Lonchura striata: one gene and its partners. The protein of the gene in region 3 purifies or fractionates together with the protein of the main gene of each other region. This does not show direct contact. Links are inferred from orthologs where the notes say so. Each region holds a gene or a part of one and is shown on either strand. Other genes may lie near its edges.

Region 1 (7,820 bases), on a different chromosome or scaffold from region 3:
GAAACTTCCCTGAGGTGGATATTTGACACTTGGGGGATGGATGGTGAGGAGCAGTGGCAGAGATCTCGCTGGATGTGCCTGTGCATTGCCAAGGAAGATGAAAACATCAGCAAGCTCTGTCATTATCATACAAAAAGCAGTCAGCCCTTAGCACCTCACCCTGAATTAGCTGTGTGAACACTACAGAGCTGATGCTGAGAGTTAGAACATGACCAAGGCCACTGGTGGTCATCAAAGTGGTCAGACTCAAGAGGTCTTTACCAAGGAGACTTGAAGTTGATTGTTCCTTTCTCTGTTCTTGTCCTTGCTACACTATTTGGTTGCTGCTCATAACCTTCCTGAGGTGATTCTTCTCTCCTCAAGCTGCCTCTGTCCCATTCTAAGGCTGCAGTTTCTCAGTGACCAAAGGCAAAGCGTGGCCACAGGGCCAGGGCAGTGATTGTCCCCCCGTAGTCAGCACTGGGGAGGCCACACCTCGAGTCCTGTGCTGAGATTCGGGTTCTTTACTACAGGAAGGACATTGGAACCTGTCTGGAGAAAAGGAACAAAGCTGGGGAGGGAAGGAGCTGCCTGACAGGAGGCTGAAGGTGGGGCTTGGTGTCTTCTGCCAGGTAATGATGATAGGATGAGAGGAAATTACTTCAAGTTGTGCTCAAGTTGTACTCAGGGAAGTTTAAATTCACTATTAAGAAAAATTTCTGCATGGAAAGGATGGTCAAGCATTGGAACAAGCTTCCCAGTGAAGGGATTGAGCCTTGGAGGTATTTAAAAGACATGTAGATGTGGCACTTAGGAACATGCTTTTTTTCCTGGTGAACAGTCTCAGGTACAGTATTTACTTCTTTTATCTTCTTTCTGGAAAGTCTTTTTTGTTCCTAGTTGGATTTTTTTGTTTTTTGGTTGAGGTGGGTTTTTTGTTGTTGTTGTTGTTGTTTTTGGTGGTTTTTTGTTTGTTTGTTTTTTCCACTGTAACAAGGTCATTACAATGAAGAACAAAACTCTGGTATTTCTTGAAACTGTAACAACCAGTGAGTGTAACACATCCCCAATAGGTGGTGCTGCATCTTTTCCATCAAGTTGAATTGTTGCATTGTTGGCCCTGATCAGCTGGAAAAAATTGTTTTTTTGAGTGAACTGAAGTTAGTAATCTAATGATAATTAGTTGTTTTGTTTTGGGTTTTTAAAATATAAATTATTATTGCAATTCATTTGACAAAATAAATGCAGTTTTGTAACTTGGTAGTTGGGAGAGTTATCTATAGAAAGACAAAAATCATGTTTTGGTCCCTCCACCATGGATTAATTGTGGTTTAATATCTAATTGTTAAAATAACAAACAGTTCCTGAGCAGGGGGCCAGAACCCTCAAAGTGTTTGTAAAATTTGAACACTTTAGTGCATAGAGCCATGAACTTCTTCACTTTGGCTCTGATTTTAAATTCTTATGTAAAGCAGAATGCAGAATATGTGCCAGGTCCAATGCATGTACTGCAGGATAACATCTTAAAAGTTAGGCTAGTTGAGAGATGACAAACAAGAGCTTAAATCCCTTCCAAGTCAAGAATAAAATTCACATCTTTCAGCTCTGAGTAAAAATTTTTGCTACTGTATCATTGCAAACAATGACTGTCAGACATTTATAAACTCTGGGGTTTTAAAATTAATTAAATTTAAAATGGGAATGGTTGTTACTTAGGTTATGTTTTCTCATAAAAAGAAAAGCTGTATCATTTGTCACTAGCCTATTTGTGTATAAAATATTTTCCCTAGATTGCTGCCACTGCTATAAATGATTTTTAAAATGCTGCTCCTAAATACCATCTTTGCTTCAGAATTATTAGTACATACTTTTTTCCAAAATTAATAATTTCTACTGTGACAGATATCAGTTCTGGGAAATGTCATCTTGAAATTCAGCAGTTAAGAAAGGTATTGTGCCCAGCAGTTACTAATTTTTTTTCTTTTGAAAAACCTAATTTTAAGTGTTTAAGAAGCTGTTCTTACACTACCGTATAATTGTTAATACAGCATATAAAGACCATGCTTAAAAAAATGCTGTTACAGAGCTTTCAAAACTCTCTTTCAGAACAAACCTTTTCAAGAACTGAAGCCTTTTTTCAGTGAAATGGCCCAGTAAGACATAATTAGGTTTCACTGTGCTCCAAAACAGCAGTTGTCAGTGACAGAAAGCATTGGAAATAAAGCAAGTGACATGGCCCAAAATGAGTGTGTGAACAAAGGTAATGCAGGTCTAACAGGCACAATAGTATGTCTAATATTAGAGAAAGTTATATTCCTAATCAGGTTGAAGAGATTGGTTTAAATATAGCATCAAAAAATTAGATGTTGATACAGAAACTGCATGTTTTCCTCCTGCCACTTCAGCAGAAAGGTCAAATGTGCCTCTTCTGGCTCTTGTTTTTGGGTATTTTTCCTCATCCACCCTCTTTTTCAGCCTCCAGTAAAGATATATATGAGAAATTATTGGTGGTTGTGAAAAAATGTTACCCAGCTCCTCCTAGGGAGGAAAACAGCAGCCCCTTTGCCAGCTCCTTTGTTTATCTTTTTCTTAGACCTGCTTGGCTTTACTTTAAAGTTGGCCCATAATTTTGTCCTTTATTTGTTTATAGTTACAGGTAAATCTTTACTTTCCAGCAATTTGAGAAGCCTGGAATGAAGACAAATCCAAAATCACTCCAGTGGAAACTCTAGTGGTGACAATGGTTTCAGGAGCAGTTCACTTGAAGTGAAAGCTGAGCTGTTCATTGCAGCCCTCGAATATCTGCAAGTATGACCCAAAGGGGAGAGTAAATACTTTGGAACAGTGAGATGCTTCTGTATCACTTGAAATATGAACTGATGAAGAAGGATATTAATTGGCATGATGAACACTACAAGCTGTATGTTTGCTTTGCTCTTTGGCAGATAATACTTGGCGAAGGAATTCAGTTGACTTTGACGGGGCTTGACTGTTCTGGGTTGAAAACTGCATACATTTTTTAAAGGCTTCCACATCAACATGGAGGAAGTGATTGAAAGTATGGATCACGGCTCTGCTGGAATTCTGTAGGTAACTCCAGTGGAAGTGAGCATCATTAACTTGCTTTTTGCCTCCTTAGCAGGTTTAACTTTATTTTTCCTGCTTTCTTTTGAATGGAAGAGGTACTAATTAGGTAACTACAAAAGGGTGACAGTTCCTGCAGGAATTGTCATCTCTGGTGTGAAATCATAGAATTGTTTAAGTTGGAAAATCCATTTAAGATCATCAAGTCCAACCACTAACCCAGCACTGGGAAGTCCATCACTAACCCATGTCCCCACATGCCACACCCATGTCTTTGAAATTCCCCCAGGGATATCTCCAGTGTCTCAGTGTATCATACTGATCAGCACTTTGGCTCTTTCATATCCTTTCTAGTTTGTTTTCTCAAGTACATTATCTGGTTGTACTAAACATTACATGTGTGCAGTACCAGACATTATCAGGTTGACAAAGACAATAAGGCAACCCCACCACAGCTGGGTTTCATAGATATGACTACAAGTGGATGTGGGAATCCATGAGGTTACTGAGCTGAGGTTTTCAGAGCAACAGGAGGAATAAAAGAATATAAACAAACACATCTAATTTTAATTCAAGATCCAGCAGTATGTGTACTATTGATACAACTCCAGCATACCTCTCACACTTGTAACAGGGAGAGGTATCGGAGAAAGTGCTAGAGGCACAAAGTCATTTTCCAAGGTCTCACTGAAAGCCACAGGATGACAGGACATAGTCTTAAACTGTGCCGGGGGAGGTTTAGGCTGGGCATTAAGAGGAGCTTCTCCACAGCAAGGGTGATTAAACATTGGAATGGGCTGCCCAGGGTGGTGGCGGAGTCACCATCCCTGGAAGTGTTTAAGGATAAAGAGTGGACATGGCACTCCGTGCTCTGGTCCGGTGGACGTGGTGATGTCCGGTCACAGGCTGGACTCGGTGATCTCCGAGAACTTTTCCAGCCTGGCTGATGCTGTGACTCCGCGGGCAGAGCTCGGGCGGGGACTGCAGGCGGGGACAGGGGGCTGCGGCGGGGACAGGGGGCTGCAGGCAGGGACAGGGGGCTGCGGCGGGGACAAGGGGCTGCAGCTGGGACAAGGGGCTGCAGGCAGGGACAGGGGGCTGCAGCGGGGAGAGGGGGCTGCAGCAGGGATAAGGGGCTGCAGGCAGGGACAGGGGCTGCAGGCAGGGACAGGGGCTGCAGGCAGGGACAGGGGCTGCAGGCAGGGACAGGGTGCCGCAGCGGGGAGCGGGGCTGCAGCTGGGACAAGGGGCTGCAGCGAGGAGAGGGGGCTGCAGGCAGGGACAGGGGGCTGCAGCTGGGATAAGGGGCTGCAGCTGGGACAAGGGGCTGCAGCTGGGATAAGGGGCTGCAGCTGGGACAAGGGGCTGCAGGCAGGGACAGGGGTCTGCAGCAGGGAGCGGGGCTGCAGCGGGGACAGGGTGCCGCAGCGGGGAGCGGGGCTGCAGGCAGGGACAGGGGGCCGCAGCGGGGAGCGGGGCCCCTCGGCTCGGCGCCGCTCCGATCCCGTCCCGCTGCCGCGGCCGTTCCCGCCCGCCCGGCCGGGGGGCGGAGCGCTCCTTCCCCGTGACCCGCGGCTCCTCCTCCTCCCCTCCCCGCTCCTCAGTGCCGACGAGTAACCTGGATTCCCGGCCCTCCTCCTCCTCCCTCTTTTTTTTTTTCTTTTTTTTTTTTTTTTTTTTTTTTTTTCCTCCTCTCCCCTTTTCTTTTCCTCCCCCCTCCCCTTCCTCCTCCTCCTCCCCTTCCCCCGACAGCGTAACCGGGGCTCGGGCTCGCTCCCTCCCCCGTGCCCTCCCCTGGAGCCGCCGCCGCCTCCGCCGCCGCACACACGGAGACATGTACCCGGGAGCCCCCTCCGCCGGACCCGGTGAGCTTTCGCCCGGGTTTGTTTCCCCCCGGAGCGGCTTTCCCGGTCCGTGTCCCTGGGGAGCCCCGGGAGCGCCTCGCTCCCCCCGGCTCGGGCCTGGCTGGAGCGGCGGCCGCGCTGGCCGGGGAGGAAGGAGGGTCAGGGCGCCGCCGCCGCCTCGGGCCGGGCCGCGTGTCCGGAGGCGCCTCTGAGGGGAGGGTCGCCTTCCCTGCCCCGCTCCCCCTCCCTCCGCCGGGCCCCGAGGCCGGAGCAGCTCCCGCTGCGGACCGGGGTCTCCATTTCCTCTCTCCCGGCTCCATGCTGGGATTCCCGGCTGGCCGCGTGTTCCTCGGAGGCCGCGCTGCGATAGTTGTGCTCTGGAGGTCGGGGAGCGTCCGCATGCCGGGAGGGCTGGGGGAGGCGAGGGGCAGCGTGAGGTGTCCTCAGGCTCGCTCTGCGTGGGAGCAAAGGAAAGGTGGACGTGCAAAGCAGGGTTAGCAACTCTCGGGGAGAGTTTAGTATCGCTTTGGGGAAATGCAGGTTAATACTGTGCGAGTTTGTGCAGTTCGTATGAGACAATGTTTTCTCCTTTTTAGTGTTAGGTTGTTTCTGCGGTGAGAATTCTTATGTAGAAACAATAGTGTTTGGGTGACTGGCACCTAGTTTTCTTGTAGAAAAGTTGCAGAATAAATGGAACTTTATTTTATCCCACTGTTCTCAATTGTTTTGCAAAACATTTCTTCCGTTAGAGGGATAATCTAGCAAGGACTGGTGTAGGGAAGTACAGGACCTGTAACTGAGATGTCTTTTAGTGTTTCTCTTACAGACGCTTTGGTAAAAGCATTTATATTTTGGGATCCACTGTTAGGTGCTGGCTTTTTTTTTTTTCTTTTTTTCCTCTGACTTGGTTCTCCTGAAGGGGCAATAATTAGGAAAGACAATCAGGATGATTATTTTCCTCTTGAAGTAGAGATCCTCCGTTTTTACTTTCTCACCGGGCACAGCAGGCAGACAGGTCTCTACAGCTCTGTGTCCCCAGACTGGTGTTCACGATCTTGCTTTCATGTGTAACATCAATTGCACATTTCACATTTCAGTACCGATAACTGTAGAACTACAGGTGTAATCCTTTGGTGGTTTCTGGTGTCGGGTTCCCTTGCTCAGGCACAGGTACACTTTCAGTTTACAGGTGCTCATGGTGCCTCAACATCGGGCTGATGCTATGTTCACCTCGTGGTGATCTTGTTTGAAAATGTGCTTAAGGAGACAGGTAATTAAAAATATTACCAGCACATGGGCTGAGAGTAGTTTCATGTGTGGGAGTCTCTTTATCTTTATTTACTCTCTATTCGATCCTACCACTTTCCCTTTCACTTGGAATGTTCTCCCAGCTGGTGGCTGCTGTTTGCCGTCAGGGATGCACGTTTGGTGTGAAGGAATGTTTTCACCTTCTTGGAACAACAACGTCTTAACCTCGGGCTGCTGACTCGGCTGTACTTTCACCAAGTTCTAGGTGGCTGTGGGTTGTCACCGGTGTGTGTCTCGGGCTCCTGCTGTTCTGCTGCCTCCAGCCGAGCTCATCTTGTGTCTTGTTTACTTCCGAGTTTATCAGCGTGGCTCAGCCCTTTCCCCGTGTCTGTGCCGGGGTGGGAGCTGCGAGTTGTTCTCCACATGGTGAGCGAGGCTCTGCTTCCTTCCTGTGAAATCATCCACGGACAGCCTCAGCAGCTCAGTGGCTTCTGGCAGCCCAGGCAGCTTCCTGCTCCACTCCACACACAAGGCAGGGCATCCTGGAGATTTTTATTAGAGCGTGGCTGTTCTGTGAACCAGCCTGGAAGCAGGGACTGTGAAGTCCCCTGCCACATGTTAATCTGAGAACTACAAACCCACTGTGTGTGAAATCCTGCTCGGAGGAGAGAGCACAAGTGTGGTTTACAACCCCTCACCGAGCCAGAGCTGCTGTGAACACAGCAGAGGGCTGCAGCCTCTCCAGGTCTGTCAGCACATCCTTGACACCAGGGAAAGGCTCCATTCATCTCTGCTCTGTCCGGATCCCCTGCCGGAGCCGCTGATGCGCAGGAGCGGCTTTGCTCTCCCAGCTCCCTGTCCAAACTGGGCTCTGCAGCGAGACCGTCGGAGGGTGCCTCTGGTGCTGGCCTCCTGCCAGAGGAACCGCTCAATTTGCCCCAGGGTTTGCTATTTTAGCCTTAATTATTTTCATGGAAACAAAATCAAGCAAGTTATGAGGCCATTTCTGACTGATTTCAAAACATTGCTGGTGAACGTGGAAAGTTTGCTCAAACGTGCTGTTGATGTCAGGAGTAAGGTTGGTTTTTGTGCACGAAGGGGTTGTCATGAAATCACTGTTTCCATAATTAGGAATTTAATGATCCCTTTTTGCTTGACTTGGTGTTGAATTTGCTGCGACACTGTGTCCATACCCTTTTTTATTAGCTCAAGAAAGTGTGAAAAGTAAAGAATCTGAAAATCTGACAAGAAATTATTTTTTGCAGAAAAATCTTGATACTGCTTTGATATTGTGGTGTACCTTTTCTTAGAAGGACAGAAAAATGTCAAAGTGGCATAAAGACTTGATTAAAAGCTGTATAAACTTCTGGAACCTGCACTTCTAAGTGTTAGTGTATTTATTAATTCTAAACTTTGCACACCACAGATTTTTATTCTTTGAAAGGATATTTGGTTTTGCCTGATGTTGAGGGTCTTAATGTATTGTTGAAGCAGCAATTGTCTGAAAAAGAGTGTGAAGTTGATTATAGCTTTGTGTGTGGAATACCAACGTTTTTTCCCTAGCACAAAAAACAACTTTATTAAATTAGTGGAACTAAAGTTATTTTCTTATCATTTAGTTGTAAGTTACCCTTTAAAAACTGTGAATAGGCTGTTGAAACTTGT
Region 2 (7,536 bases), on a different chromosome or scaffold from region 3:
ACCCCAGGGACCCCTGAGAATCTGACAGCCCTGACACCCCAGAGACCCCTGAGACCCCAGGGACCCCTGAGAATCTGACAGCCCTGACACCCCAGAGACCCCTGAGAATCTGACAGCCTTGACACCCCAGGGACCCCTGAGACTCCCAAGACCCTAGGGACCTCTGAGACCCCTGACACCCCAGGGACCCCTGAGACCCCTGAGACCCCAGGGACCCCTGAGACTCTGACAGGCCTGACACCCCTGAAACCCCTGAGACCCTGAGACTCCTGAGACCCCAGGGACCCCTGACACCCCAGAGACCCTTGAGACCCCCAAAACCCTGCCCAGCCCCTGGAGGGATCAGGGAAGGGCGGGAGGGGCCGGGAGCACTCACAGGTAGTCGAAAATGATGAGGCCGCCCCGGGACAGGTACTTGAGGTTGCTTTTGGTGAGGAACAGGACGCCATTCTCCAGGCTCTGGATCTGGCGGATGTCGTCGCTGCTGTTCACCTGGAAGGAGGAGTAGCGCTCCAGTGTGGGCCCGAAGAAGGAGGTGGCGTGGCCCTGAAAGCAGAGGGGACAGGGATGTCACAACCATGTCCTGGTGGGTGTGACACAGCCGTGCCTCGCTTCATCTTCTGCCAGATCCCAGATTTTCCAGGTTATGGGTGCATTCCTGGCACTCCTGGGTGCTCCAAACTGGGGGAAGCAGCTCAGGCTTTTGCCTGGATAAATAAAAAATCCCAACACATCCTCTCTGCCCGGAAAGCAGAGGGGACAGGGATGTCACAACCCCATGTCCTGGTGGGTGTGACACAGCTGAGCATCACTTTTTCCACTATCAGATCCAGGATTTTCCAGGTTATGGGGGTTTTCCCACAACCCCATAACTCCAGGTTATGGCTTAGGATTTTCCAGGTTATGGGTGCATTCCTGGCACTCCTGGGTGCTCCAAACTGGGGGAAGCAGCTCAGGCTTTTCCCTGGATAAATAAAAAATCCCAACACCACCCCACAGCAGTGACAGGGGAAGCAGTGAGAGGTTTGTGCTCCGAGAATTTACAAGGATAGATCCAAGGGGAAAGGTTTGAAACCAAAAGAGGAGATTTAGATGGGATGGAGGGGTGAAATTCCTCCCTGGGAGGATGGTGAGGTGCTGGAATCTCCCAGAGAAGCTGTGGTTGCTGTGGAAGTGTCCAGGGCCAGGTTGGACACGGCTGGGAGCACCCTGGGGTAGTGGAAGGACGAGGAATGGGATGAGTGTGGAGACCTTGGAGTCCTTCCAGTGGCTGAAGGGGCTCCAAGAGAGCTGGAGATGGACTTGGGACATCAGCAAGGAGCACCAGGACAGGGGACAACGGCTCCACAGTGACACAGGGTGGGGTTAGACAGGATTTTGGGATTAAACCCCTCCTTCTGAGGTGCTGGAATGGATTTCCCAGAGGATTCCCAATCCTTGGAAGTGTCCGAGGCCAGGCTGGACCGGTGGGAGGCCATGGCAGGGTGGTGGAACAGGTGATGTTAAGTTTGAATTTTAACTCAAATTTAAATTTGAGTTTTTTATTTTCCAGATCTGTGACTGCTTTAGGGTGTTAACTCGAAAACTCCACAGCCTGTCAGCTGCTTTTTTATTCAGACAAAACAGCTCCTCTCTAGGCCTGAAACCCAAGGACACCTGACTGTCTCAGGCCCTGAAAAATGCAAACAAAAAGTGAATTGGGGGGAGCAAACTGGGGGAATGTGATTGAATTACCTGCAGGTGGAATTGGACAATTAAACTCTGATATGCAAATAGAGCAAACTTTTATCTGGCTGAAAATCTTGTGGGTTTTCATCCCACCTGGGTGGGGCTCTGCGAGCTCCTGCACTGCCCGAGGTGCACCTTTGAAGGCTTTTTAATAAATAATTTGATTTATCCTTCAACTCTGGCTAGTCTCTGTTCTAGGGAACCTCTCCAGGCGTCACCGGGTGAGTTTTCCTCTCCTTTTCCATCCCACAACTCCACCAAACCCCAAAACATTCCCAGAGCTTCCCAAAATCCCCCCAGAGCTTCCCAGAACCTCTCCAGAACCTCCCAAAACCTTCCCAGAACCTCTCCAGAACATCCCAAAACCCTCCCAAAACCTCTCAAAACCTCCCAAAACCTTCCCAAAACCTCTCCAGACCTTCCCAAAACCTTCCCAGAACCTCTCAAAACCTCCTTGAAACCTCCCAAAACCTCCCCAAAACCATCCCAGAATCTCTCCAGAACCTCCCAAAACCTCTCCGGAACATCCCAAAACCTTCTTGAAACCTCCCAAAACCTTCTCGAAACCTCCCAAAACCTCTCCAGAACATCCCAAAACCTCCTCAAAACCTCCCAAAACCTTCCCAGAACCTCTCCAGAACCTCCCAAAACCTTCCCAGAACCTCTCCAGAACATCCCAAAACCTCTCAAGAACATCCCAAAACCTTCTCAAAACCTCTCCAGAACCTCCCAAAACCTTCTCAAAACCTCCCAAAACCTTCTCAAAACCTTCCAAAACCTTCTCAAAACCTCTCCAGAACATCCCAAAACCTCCTCAAAACCTCTCCAGAACATCCCAAAACCTCCTCAAAACCTCCGAAAACCTCTCCAGAACATCCCAAAACCTTCCCAGAACATCCCAAAACCTCCTCAAAACCTCCGAAAACCTCTCCAGAACATCCCAAAACCTTCCCAGAACATCCCAAAACCTCCTCAAAACCTCCGAAAACCTCCCCAAAACCTCTCCAGAACGTCCCACCCCCTCGCCAGCCCCTCTGCGGAGCCTCCCAGCCCCTCGCCACGTACGCCGTGGTTGCCGACCCACAGCATCTCCTCGTGCAGGTCGAAGTGGGCGACGGCGGCGGGCACGCCGACCTCGGAGACGGCCGTGTGCAGCTCGCTGTACATGCCCTCCAGCAGGTGCACGGGGTCGGGCACCGGGAGCCCCTCCAGGGCCACCCCCTCGGGGTCCAGCTCCACCAGGCTGGGGGGCAGGTGAGGGTCCAGCACCGGCTCCAGCGCCGGGTGCAGCGGGGCCGCGAACTCGGCCAGCGACGGGGTCAGCCCCTCGAAGTTCATGGTGGATCCCGGCCCTGGAGGGGGGACAGGGACCGGGGAGGAGGCTCAGGGACACCTGGGGACACCTGGGGACACTGAGGGACACTGAGGGACATTTGGGACACTGAGGGACACTGAGATACACTGAGGGACATTTGGGATACTGAGGGACACTGAGGGACAACAGGGGACACTGAGGAACCCCATGGGACACTGAGATACACTGAGGGACACTGAGGGACATTTGGGACACTGAGGGACACTGAGGGACAACAGGGGACACTGAGGAACCCCATGGGACACTGAGATACACTGAGGGACACTGAGGGACATTTGGGACACTGAGGGACACTGAGGGACAACAGGGGACACTGAGGAACCCCATGGGACACTGAGATACACTGAGGGACACTGAGGGACATTTGGGACACTGAGGGACACTGAGGGACAACAGGGGACACTGAGGAACCCCATGGGACACTGAGATACACTGAGGGACACTGAGGGACACCACGGACACTGAGGGACATTTGGGACACTGAGGGACACTGAGGGACACTGAGATACACTGAGGGACACTGAGGGACACTGAGGGACACTGAGATACACTGAGGGACACTGAGGAATATTTGGGACATTGAGGGGCCCTCAGGGACACTGCGGGACATCTGGGGACACTGAGAGACATTTGGGACACTGAGGGACACTGAGGGACACTGAGGGACACCACGGACACTGAGGGACACTGAGATACACTGAGGGACACTGAGGGACATTTGGGACATTGAGGGACCCCATGGGACATTGAGGGACACTGAGGGACCCCCATGGGACACTGAGAGACATTTGGGACACTGAGGGACACTGAGGGACATTTGGGACACTGGGGGACACTGAGGGACATTTGGGACACTGGGGGACACCAGGGGACACTGAGGGACACCTGGGGACACCGGGGGACACTGGGGGACACTGAGGGACACTTGGGACACTGGGGGACATTTGGGACACTGGGGGACACCAGGGGACACTGGGGGGGACTTGGGGACACTTTGGGACCCCGTGGGGTGCCAAGGACACGCTGGGACCTCGTCGGGCACCGTGGGAGTCCGTGGGGTGGCAGAGGACACCGGGGGACACCGTGGGGTGCCAGGGGACATCTGGGGACACTTTGGGGTGCTGGGGGGTGCCAGGGGACCCCAGGGGACACCGGGGGACCCCAGGGGACAGTGGGGGACACTTTGGGACCCCAGGGGGTGCCCGGGACCCCCGGAGCTCCTGGAACCGGTGACAGGATAGGAACGGCAGATCCCCGAGTACCGGGCAGTGTCCCGGGGCACCGGGCAGTGTCCCGGGGCACCGGGGAGCGGCCCCCGAGAACCGGGCAGTGTCCCAAAGCCCCAGGCAGCCAAACCGGGCCCCGCCCCGTCCCACCCCCGGTGCTCCGAGCCAGCTCCGCACCCGCCGCCTTTATCACGGCGGGCCCACAGCGATCGCGCCGGCGGGAGCGGCGCTATCAGCGGCCGCAGTGCCGGGCGGGGCCCGGCCCGAGCGGCCGCGCTCCCCGAGCCCGGAGCCGCCGCCGCGCCCTTACCGAGCCGCCGCGGGCACCGCCGCGCCGGGGCCGCGCTGCCGGGCTCGTCCCGCTGCGCCGCCGCCGCGGCCGGGCCGCGCCCGGAGCCGCTCCCGCCGTCGCTACGGCAACCGCGCCCCTGCCCGGTGCACCGGGCCGCCCCGGGACACCGACCAATGGCAGCGCCGAGCGCCGGGAACCGACCAATCAGCGCCCGGGGGAGGCGGGGCTAAGCGGAGCGGGGCGACGGGGCGGCGCTCGGGACAAAAAGGAGGCGGGCGGCGGGACCGCGGTGGGGAGCACCGGGGGAGTCCCGGGACCCCCGGGAGCCTCCCGGACCCCCGGGAGCCTCCAGAACCCCCGGGAGCCTCCCGGAGCCCCGGGAGCCTCCCAGACCCCCGGGAACCTCCCAGACCCCCGGGAACCTCCCGGACCACCGGGAGCCTCCCGGACCACCGGGCGCTCCAGAACCCCCGGGAGCCTCCAGAACCCCCGGGAGCCTCCCGGAGCCCCGGGAGCCTCCCAGACCCCCGGGGACCTCCCGGACCACCGGGAGCCTCCCGGGCTACCGGGAGCCTCCAGAACTCCCGGGAGCCTCCAGAACCCCCGGGAACCTCCCGGACCCCCGGGAGCCTCCAGAACCCCGGGAACCTCCCGGACCCCCGGGAGCCTCCCGGATCCACCGGGCGCTTCCCGGACCCCCGGGCGCCTCCCGGACCCCCGGGAACCTCCCGGACCCACCGGGCGCTCCCGGACCCCCGGCTGCGGCTTCTGGGGTGCCACGGGTGTCACGCAGCGTGCCCGGTCACCCACGAGAGCTTACGGTGTGTCACGGAGCAGCCCGGGGCGTCCCACGGGGTCTCACCGTGTCCCACGGAGTCCCACGGGGGTTCCACGATGTCCCACGGGGTCCCACGGGGGTCCCACGATGTCACACGGGGGTCCACAGTGTCCCGGGAACCCCGTGGGGTCCCCACAGTGTCCCCAGCTGCCCTTCAGTGTCCCCCACTGTCCCCTGGGGTCCCCCGGTGTCCCCTGGGGTCCCCTGGCACCCCCCAGCACCCCAAAGTGTCCCCAGATGTCCCCTGGCACCCCACGGTGTCCCCCGGTGTCCTCTGCCACCCCACGGGCTCCCACGGTGCCCGACGAGGTCCCAGCGTGTCCTTGGCACCCCACGGGGTCCCAAAGTGTCCCCAAGTCCCCCCCAGTGTCCCCTGGTGTCCCCCAGTGTCCTGAATGTCCCTCAGTGTCCCCCAGTGTCCCAAATGTCCCTCAGTGTCCCCCGGTGTCCCTCTGGTGTCCCTCAATGTCCCAAATGTCCCAAATGTCCCCCGGTGTCCCTTAGTGTCCCGTGGGGTCTCTCAGTGTCCCAAATGTCCCCCGGTGTCCCAAATGTCCCCCAGTGTCCCAAGTGTCCCTCAGTGTCCCCCAGTGTCCCCCGGTGTCCCGGAGGGTGCCTCAGTGTCCCAAATGTCCCCCGGTGTCCCTCAGTGTCCCGTGGGGTCTCTCAGTGTCCCCCGGTGTCCCTCAGTGTCCGCCGGTGTCCCCCGGTGTCCCCCCCGTCCCACCCCGTCCCCGGTGTCCCCCATCACCCCCCGTGTTCCCTCGGTGTCCCCGCGAGGTCCCCGAGTGTCCCGAGCTCCCGGCAGCGTCCCCGGCCCGGCCCCGGTGCCCGCGGCGCGCCCGGTGCCGGGGAAAGCCGGGGGCAGCCCCGGCGGGCGGAGCGGGAAGCGCCGGAGCCGCCCCGGCGGGACCGCCGGGATTGCGGCACGGCACGGCACGGTCCGGCTCGGCACCGCGGGGACACCGCGGGGACACCGCGGGGACACCGCCGGGACGCCGCCCGGACGCCGCCGGGCTCCCGGTGCGCCCGCCGGGGCAGCCCAGGTGCAGCGAGGGGACGTCCCCGCCGCCGGTGCCGGTGGCGATACCGGTGCCGGTGGCGATACCGGTGCCGGTGGCTCCCATCCCGCCAGGAACTGCCCCGGGTTTTCCTGCCCGTCCCGGTGCGGCGGGGCGCAGCGTGGGGACCCCGGCCCGGTATCGGTTCTGCTTTCGAGGGGCGGCGGCGGCGGCGAGGGGCGGGAGCCACCTGCCCCGGGATTCCCCACCTGCCGCCGCCCCATAAGAGCCCGGTGGCGGCGCCGGTGGCGGCACAGAACGAGCTCGGATGGCTCCGCTCCGCCGCCTCCGCCTCTGGCTGCTCCTCGCTCTGCTGCCGCCGCCTCCCGCGGCACCGGCACCGGCACCGGCACCGGCGCCGGCCCCGCTCCGCCGCCCGGACTGGGCCGCCTGCCGGGTCCTGTCCCGGGAGCTGGCGCGGCTGCTGGGGACGGTCCGAGAGCCGCACCCGGTGCTGGTGAGAGCGGCGGGGCTCGGCGGGGGCACCGGGGGCTTGGGGAGCACCGGGGGCTTGAGATTCACCGGGGGCTTGGGGAGCACCGGGGGGCCCGGCGGGGATACCGGGGGGCTCGGGAAGCACCGGGGGCTCTGCCAGGGGCACCGGGGGCTTGGGGAGCACCGGGGGACCCGGCGGGGACACCGGGGGGGCTCGGAAGCACCGGGAGGCTCGGCGGGGGCACCGGCGGCACGAGGAGCACCGGAGGGCTCTGCCGGGGCACCAGGAGCTCGGTGGGGAGCGAGGGGTTCGGGAAGCACCGGGGGGTTCAGCCGGGGGCACCGGGGGCTTGGGAAGCACCGGGGGGCTCGGGATTCACCGGGGGGCTCGGTCGGGGCACCAGGAGCTCGGTGGACAGCGAGGGGCTCGGGAAGCACCGGGGTCTCGGGAAGCACCGGGATCTCTGCTGGGGGCTCCACCGGGGGGCTCGGGATTCACCGAGGGGCTCGGGAAGGACCGGGGGGCTCGGGAAGCACCGGGATCTCTGCCGGGGGCACCGGGGGGGCTCGGGAAGCACCGG
Region 3 (7,145 bases):
ATTAATCTGATTTACTATAGCTTTTTTTTTTTTTCCCACAGACTGCGAGTCTCGGGCTCGGAAGCAGCCAGGTTAGGTTATCCACCAGCAAGGCTTCTGCAATCCCAGCCAAAAAGCACCACAGTGCTCCCCAGAGCAGCTTCCTCACTGGGGTATCCAGGGCTGACACTGATGTTTTCACGTCTGGAAAGAATTCCAGAAGCCACAGCATCCGGGGGCTGTTGCTCAGCACACCATTTTGAGCTCACAAATAACACACAGGAGCAGGCAGGCAGACATCCCAGGGATTCCTGAACCCCAGGAACAGGGCTGCAGCAAGGAAATTCCGTGATATGCTAAGCACAGGTTGCACCCACTGCAAGTCACCTCCTATTTCCTTGGAAAACACCAGGGGAAGCAGTGAGAACCCGTGTGTACCTTCCCACTGCCTTCTCGAAATTATTATTTTTAAAAAATGTAATATCCGAGAGGAAACTCCTTTTAAATGCTCAGTCGTCGGGGAATCCAAAGGAAAAAAAAAAACCCAAAAAAAAGCCCAAAAAACCCCACCCACCGCCGGGAAGGAGGGCAGGATTTGGAAGCCATGCCTGGCTCTCCCAGCGCATCCAGCAGCAGTGCAGATGTTCTCCTGGTCCTCCGCTCTGGCATTGTCCTCAGGTCCACAGCACCACCGACACCCACCTGATTTAAAGCTCTGCACCACTAACAGCGGGATTTATTGGAATTTTAATTACCTTAACCGGCCTAATGTCCACAGCAAATTTCTGTACATAAATTAGCATAATTCGCCAGATACATACATATGCAAACGAGAAGGGAAAATATGCAACAGACACGGGTATGACGTCCCAAAGATTATTTCTAAATTTAAACTGGCTGTTAGAATAATTGAATAAATCTCTTCTCGCAGATACACTCGAGTTGTAGCAGAAAATAAACTAGTCACAAAGACCTGCAGTATTATTTTTAATGGGAAAAGAGGGGGGAAACCCAATTGAGTTCAATAAATCCCATAATTGAACCTTCAACTAATTACATATTAAGAAGATTAACCTTTGACACAAACTTGTGATACAAACAAAGAAGCCTCGAACAATTAATAAACTTCCAGCGTTTCAAGATTTCTCAGGTTAACAACTGAGCCCTTCCCATTTTCCTCCCCTCCTGCGTCGCAGTTAAAGGAATAAACTCAGTTTAATATTCTCTCTCCCCCTGGACATTCCAGGTTTAGACGAAGATCTCTCTGTGGATACTCAGGAGAAAATGACTGCGGATCCTCACAATCTCATTAGGCGGAGGGGGAAAAGAGGAAAAATAAACCAAAGCTGAACATTTTAACTTTTTAAGAGAAAGCAGCCATGAAGGACAAAGCTGGAGCTCATGTGCTCGCCCACAGGGCAGCACTGCTGGCCATGCCCACAATTTCCCAGCCCTGGGATCATTTCCAAGCCGCTCTGCGATAATTTTCACACGTGTAAGTTCTAAAAAGCAAGAGCACACGGTCGTGCCTTGCAGCAGAAGCTGCCTTCGTGTCATGTCTGAATGGCACAACATGCTCACAAATGGCACTTTCTGCTCGCTCTTCGTGGCCAAACAGCGATTCCGGACAGAGGAAAAATACCGAATTAATTCTACCATTAAAAAAAAATCCGGAGGTTGTTCGCGTTTTTTTAAAAATCGTATAAAAATAAAAGGGATTTTGAAATGTTTGGGGGTGTTCCTTGCTTCGCTGACTAATAAACAATTTAAAAATAATAATAATAATCTAGTTTAGATTTGTGAAAAAGGAGGAATGCACAGGTTTTGCAGGTCTCTTCCCCTGCTAACTTCTATCGTGCCCAGATTAAGAAAGGCTCTTACCCGTTCTTACCTTTTAGTCTTTTCTTTATGGGGCTCTTTGGCAGCTTTCGATTCAGTCTTGCTGTAAGGAAACAAGTGAGTATTTTGTCTACCGTGTAGGGGTCTTTCTGACGTGTTCCTTTCTTATCTTTAATGCTTCTCTTTTTTTTTTTAATTTTTTGTAAATGTACCCGTAATTTCACGAATATGAATACGAAAAAAATCTCACACGGCCAAAAAAAATAAGTTTTTTGTTGTTGTCGTCGTTTGTTTACCCCCCTCAGGGAAAAAAAAAAAGTCTGCCACACAGGAGATGAAAAAAAAACCCCAGCAGATCAACAGGAAAACACTATCCAAGTAGAAAAGCAAGGAGCTTCAGTGTTATCCAGCCCAGAGGAGAAGTGCAGCAAAAGCAGGTCCAATTCCAAAACAAGCTTTTGATTTCCAGTGAAGCAAAATAAAAAAATAAGAAAAAACAACAAAAAATAACCAAGACCAAGAAACCAAGACAAAATACACGTTCAAGTCCCCAGCTAAATTTCTGCACGAGTGTGTCTTAAATACAAGTTTGCTTTCATGTGTTGCAGCAAAACCCACGGAAAGCCAGGATTTGGAGTTGATCGGGATGAGTTCTGGTGTGTGTGTCTTGATGGGTTCTCAGTCCACATGGAGGAGCATCTGAGGGTTTTTCAAAAAGTGCAAATCAAAAAAAGAGAAACCGGGATCCAGAAAAAGAGTTTTAAGATGGATCCCCCCTTCAAAATAAAAGGAGGAGGGTGGTGGTGGTGGAAAAAAAAAAAAAGCAAAAAGCCTCAAAGAGCAGGGCGGGAGGCACGGGGGGATGCGGAGCCTGGCATGGGGCTGCGGGCAGGAGGAGGATCCAGCGCTGTCCCCGCCGGGGGAGGAGGGTCCGCGGCTCCGCAGGGACCCCGCGGGCGATCCGGGCCGGGAGGAGGATCCAGCAGCCGCTCCCGCAGGAAGCGGCGAGCGCGGGGAGGGGGGACCCGGGGAGGAGGATCCAGCAAAGTCTTTTCACGGAGGGAGGAGGGAGCGGGGACTCGCAGCGGGCTCCGCGGGCAGGCGGGAGGGGGGCGATGCCGCGGCTCTCTCCGTGTCCTCCGCAGGGATCCGGCTGGGCAGCGGGGCGGCGTGTCCCCGGGGAGCCGCAGCAGCGCCTCGGGCAGGCTCGGTCGGTCCGCCGGGATGCAGAAGGGGGAGGGGGTGGTGGGGGGGGAACGCAGCGCCGCTCGCCGTCTCTCTCTCTCTCTCTCCCGCTCGCTCTCGCCTCGCAAAGGGCAGGCGGGTGCCGGGCTCAGTGCTGCCGGGACGATCCCCCGCTCCTCCGCGCCGCCGGTGCCGCCCTGGGGAGGCGAGGAGCCGCCGCTGCCGCCGCCGCTGCTGCTGCCGCCGCCGCGGCCATTTTGTCGCTGACTGACAGAGCCCCGCCAGGCAGCGCGAGACCGCGGGGCGGCTCCGCGCGCGCGCGCCCCCTTCCCGCGCCGGCCGCCAACGGCAGCTGGCGCGCGCTGCCCCCCCCGCCCCGCCCCCGGCCCCGCCCCCGGCCCGGCCCTCCGCCCCACGTGACGCGGATGCAAATGAGCGCGCCGGCCGCGGCCAAACGGGCGGCGAGGCCGACGCCTATGCAAATGAGCGCGCGCGCGCGCCGCGGGCCACGCCCCCCACCGCCTCCCTCCGCGCCGAGGCGCGCGCCCTCCCGCCACCGCCGCGCGCCCAGCCCGCGCCCCGCGGGGGGAGGGGGCGGAGAGCTCGGTCCTCCCCCCCAAAAAAAAATCAAAGGGGGACCCCCACACGGGAAAATGGGGGTCAAATCAAAGGGTACGGGGGGGAAAATCAAAGGGGTACACGGGGGTCACCCCCACCCGTGGGTGTCAAATCAAAGGGGTACGGGGGGACCCCCACACGGGAAAGTGGGGGTCAAATAACAGGGGTACAGGGGGTGTCAAATCAAAGGGGTGCAGGGAGGGTCACTCTCACCCGGGAAAGTGGGGGTCAAAGGGGTACAGAGATGTCACCCCCACCCGTGGGTGTCAAATCAAAGGGGTACGGGGAGATCAAATCAATGGGGTACAGGGATGTCACCCTCACCCGTGGGTGTCAAATCAAAGGGGTACAGCGGGGGTCACCCACACCCGGGAAAGTGGGTGTCAAATCAAAGGGGTACGGGGGGACCCACACCCGGGAAAGTGGGGGTCAAAGGGGTACAGTGATGTCACCACCACCCGTGGGTGTCAAATCAAAGGGGTACAGCGGGGGTCACCCACACCCGGGAAAGTGGGTGTCAAATCAAAGGGGTACGGGGGGGACACCCCCCATACAGGAAAGTGGATGTCAAATCAAAGGGGTACGGGGGGGACACCCCCCATACAGGAAAGTGGATGTCAAATCAAAGGGGTACGGGGGGGACACCCCCCATACAGGAAAGTGGGTGTCAAATCAAAGGGGTACAGGGAGGTCACCCCCACCCGTGGGTGTCAAATCAAAGGGGTACAGGGATGTCATCCCCACCCGGGAAACGGCATCAGTGCTTTCTCACACACACAGCGGTGGAAAAGGGGGTTAAACACATTCCTGCTGCACCCCGAGCTGCCGGGAGCCCCCCTCTTTGTGCCAGCTGTGAGCGCACACCTGCAGGGACACCCCTGGGTGACACTCCCGGGGTACCCATGCAGGGCTCTCGGCCCTCGGAGGGGATCCCCGTTCTACCCAGGCGCCTCCAAAAACAATCCCGGTGTTTGAAACGCGCCCGTGGCTGAGCAAGCCCGGGGAGCTGCGCAGGTCGGGGAGGGGAGATGGAAATGTCACATTTCAGAGTGGCAGCGGCTGGCTTGTCCCCCACAACAACCACATTAGCTGCTTCTGTCAGGAGAAAGTCAGGAGCTGGTCTCAAAATACCGCGGGAAGAGCGGAATGCAAAAAATTAGTCTTTTTTTTTTTCTTTGCTAAAAATTGTTGTGTCTGGGTCTTTCCAGCAGATCTCCGGTTTTCTCTCCTCTCCTGTTTCCTCTCCCCACTTCTGCAGCGAACGTTTTGGGAAGTGCAAGGAAATCCAGAGCGTGGATTTTTATCCGCTGGGGCTGTTCCGCTGAAATCTGAGCGGAGCAGGGCTCACCGGGCAGGGCTGGTGATGCTGCCGGGGACTGGCACCCGCAGCGGGGCATTCGAGGGGACAGAAGCACGGTCCCGGTACGATTCCCGCTGGAATTTGTGATGCCAGCCCCAAAGCCACCCTGTGCCAGCCTCTGGGCAAACGACACCAGGAGCCCGGAGCCCCTTGACCACTGGAGGGAGCCCATATTGTGCCAGAATGCAACAGAAATACTGTGGGGAAGACAAAAAAAAAAAAGAAAAAAAAAGCCACTAAAATATGAAATATCAGATCATTGTAGTCAGAACAAAGTGTCTTCTCCAGGTCAGACCATGATCTATAGCAATGCAAAATGTTATAAAAATCAGATTTAAATGTCCCATTGTATTTCATCAGCACAAAGAAGAGAAAGAATTATTAAGAAGAAGGCTCTTTTTTTTTTTTTTTTTTTTTTTCCCCATATTTTGAATGTCAGTCTGGCACCTTTCACCGGGAATGAATTCATACGCCAGGATGGTGACAGACCTGGCTTGGAGGGAAAATGCCCTTGTGTCATCCCAAGGGCCAGCTGAGCTTCCCCTCACTCTCCTTACTTAAATGTAGGTCAGCACCTATAGACTCCTTCCAAACCCACCCCGGAGCTGCAGCAGCTTTCCAAGGGGATTTTCCACTGCTGCTTTCCAAGGAGATTTTTTGCTCTCCTGATCAGCCAGCCACTCCAAGAAGCAGAACAGAAGAAGCCACATGCCATGCTTATGGCACTACAAGCACCTACAGGAGGCTGCCCTGCACCAAAACCTCTGCTTGGCAATTGTGCCAAGGAATGTTCCTGGTCTCCTATGTTACATGTTGTGAACGTTGAAATATTTGTAATTCAAAACACATTTTTGCCACACAAATATTTCTGGCTTTGCAGAGTGGTGCCAAGTTGCTGGAGACCCTGAAATGTCAAAATGGAATAAAACTGAAAGTGATTTGTGTACTAATCTCTTTTCTTGGCCCTGGAGAAATTACTATCAAAAGCATGCTATAACCACAGCCCCACAGACACAGAAAGCCTGTTGTGTTTGTCACCCCTGTCCCAAAATACTGTCTTTAACAGATAAAAACACATTCTACTAAACTTTTCCTGTCTTACCTGAGCTTTTTTACCATTGAACACAGGGCTTTATCCAATGTAATTTTTATTTTTCCCCCTGCTTTGGTCTCCCACTGGGGTTTTGCCCTCCCACTCCCCTGGTTGTTCTCCTTGGGGGCTCGCACAGATCCTCAGCATCATCTGAGGCTCTGTCACCTGGTGTCAGCAGCTGGTGGCTGCTGTCACCACGCATGGTGCATCTGTCCCCTCATTGCCCTGAGCTGACAGCACCCTGGCAGGGCACGGGCTTCTCCTTGAGCTGTGTTCTTCCAGAGCTGCTCCAGCACAGAACCAGGGCTCCAGGCAGCTGCTGCTGCCTTGGAAGGCTCTCCTGCCCCCAGTGCTCAGGTAGTGGCTTTTGTCACATGTGAGTAAGAGCAGATGTGAGCTGGTGTGAAGGGGAGGCAGAGGGACAGATGATGCCAGCGCATGAGTGCTCCCAGAGCAGGAGGAATTCCAGTGCTGCCTCGTAAACCTCCACTAACCCAGTCTGTCAGGGAAAAGCTGTGACCAAAGTGTCCCCAGGGTGTGTTAGGTGGGTGGCTTTGAGCACAAAGAGCCAGGCACTCACACAGATGCAGCGTTTGCTCTGCTGAGAGTGACAAAGCCCAGCTAAGCAAAGGTCTTCCCACGTTTAGGGCTGTGTTGGGTGGCTCAACCACACCCAGGCAAAATATTCCTCCAGCGTAGATTTTAGAGATGTCTCTTGCTTGGTTTTGTATCATCCAACCAAGCACAGAATTGTCACCAAGCACTCCTTGCACTTCTTACCCAGCAATAACAAGCACACAAAAAATTAAAGTCAAAGCCCTGCTCCAGTGACAAAAACAACAACCCCATTCCTTAAGGAGAATCCAGTCTCTGATGCTGAACAGGATTTCCCAGAGCCCACACAAAGTGAAGCTACAGCTCCAAGGCTCTCCCTTTCCTGAGGTGATGCTCAGAGGTTGGATGGGCAGGATCACTCAGGATCCAGGACACCACAGGCTCTTCTCAAGTTTTCCAAGGAAAATATGAATGTGCAAGCCATTTGTACAAAGTCCCTCTGAAGGGTGCATCCAC

The links.
Region 1: the proteins of TNRC6C (region 3) and AGO2 purify together in Homo sapiens (co-immunoprecipitation; 6 studies listed by BioGRID and IntAct, with this or other methods). This does not show direct contact. The link is inferred for Lonchura striata from reciprocal best matches to the Homo sapiens genes TNRC6C and AGO2.
Region 2: the proteins of TNRC6C (region 3) and PAN2 purify together in Homo sapiens (affinity purification with western blotting; 3 studies listed by BioGRID and IntAct, with this or other methods). This does not show direct contact. The link is inferred for Lonchura striata from reciprocal best matches to the Homo sapiens genes TNRC6C and PAN2.

Annotation. Positions count from the first base shown.
Region 1 is NC_134603.1:5,032,635-5,040,454, forward strand, and holds the start of AGO2 (protein argonaute-2), read left to right. Parts: upstream 1-4,752; 5' UTR 4,753-4,897; coding exon 4,898-4,928; intron 4,929-7,820.
Region 2 is NC_134629.1:5,588,718-5,596,253, forward strand, and holds the start of PAN2 (PAN2-PAN3 deadenylation complex catalytic subunit PAN2), read right to left. Parts: upstream 3,069-7,536; 5' UTR 3,067-3,068; coding exon 2,794-3,066; intron 547-2,793; coding exon 377-546; intron 1-376. Other genes in the region: IL23A (interleukin-23 subunit alpha), read left to right, coding at 6,789-6,977. UniProt on the Homo sapiens protein: Catalytic subunit of the poly(A)-nuclease (PAN) deadenylation complex, one of two cytoplasmic mRNA deadenylases involved in general and miRNA-mediated mRNA turnover.
Region 3 is NC_134621.1:3,508,869-3,516,013, reverse strand, and holds the start of TNRC6C (trinucleotide repeat-containing gene 6C protein), read right to left. Parts: upstream 3,024-7,145; 5' UTR 1,871-3,023; intron 1-1,870. UniProt on the Homo sapiens protein: Plays a role in RNA-mediated gene silencing by micro-RNAs (miRNAs). Required for miRNA-dependent translational repression of complementary mRNAs by argonaute family proteins.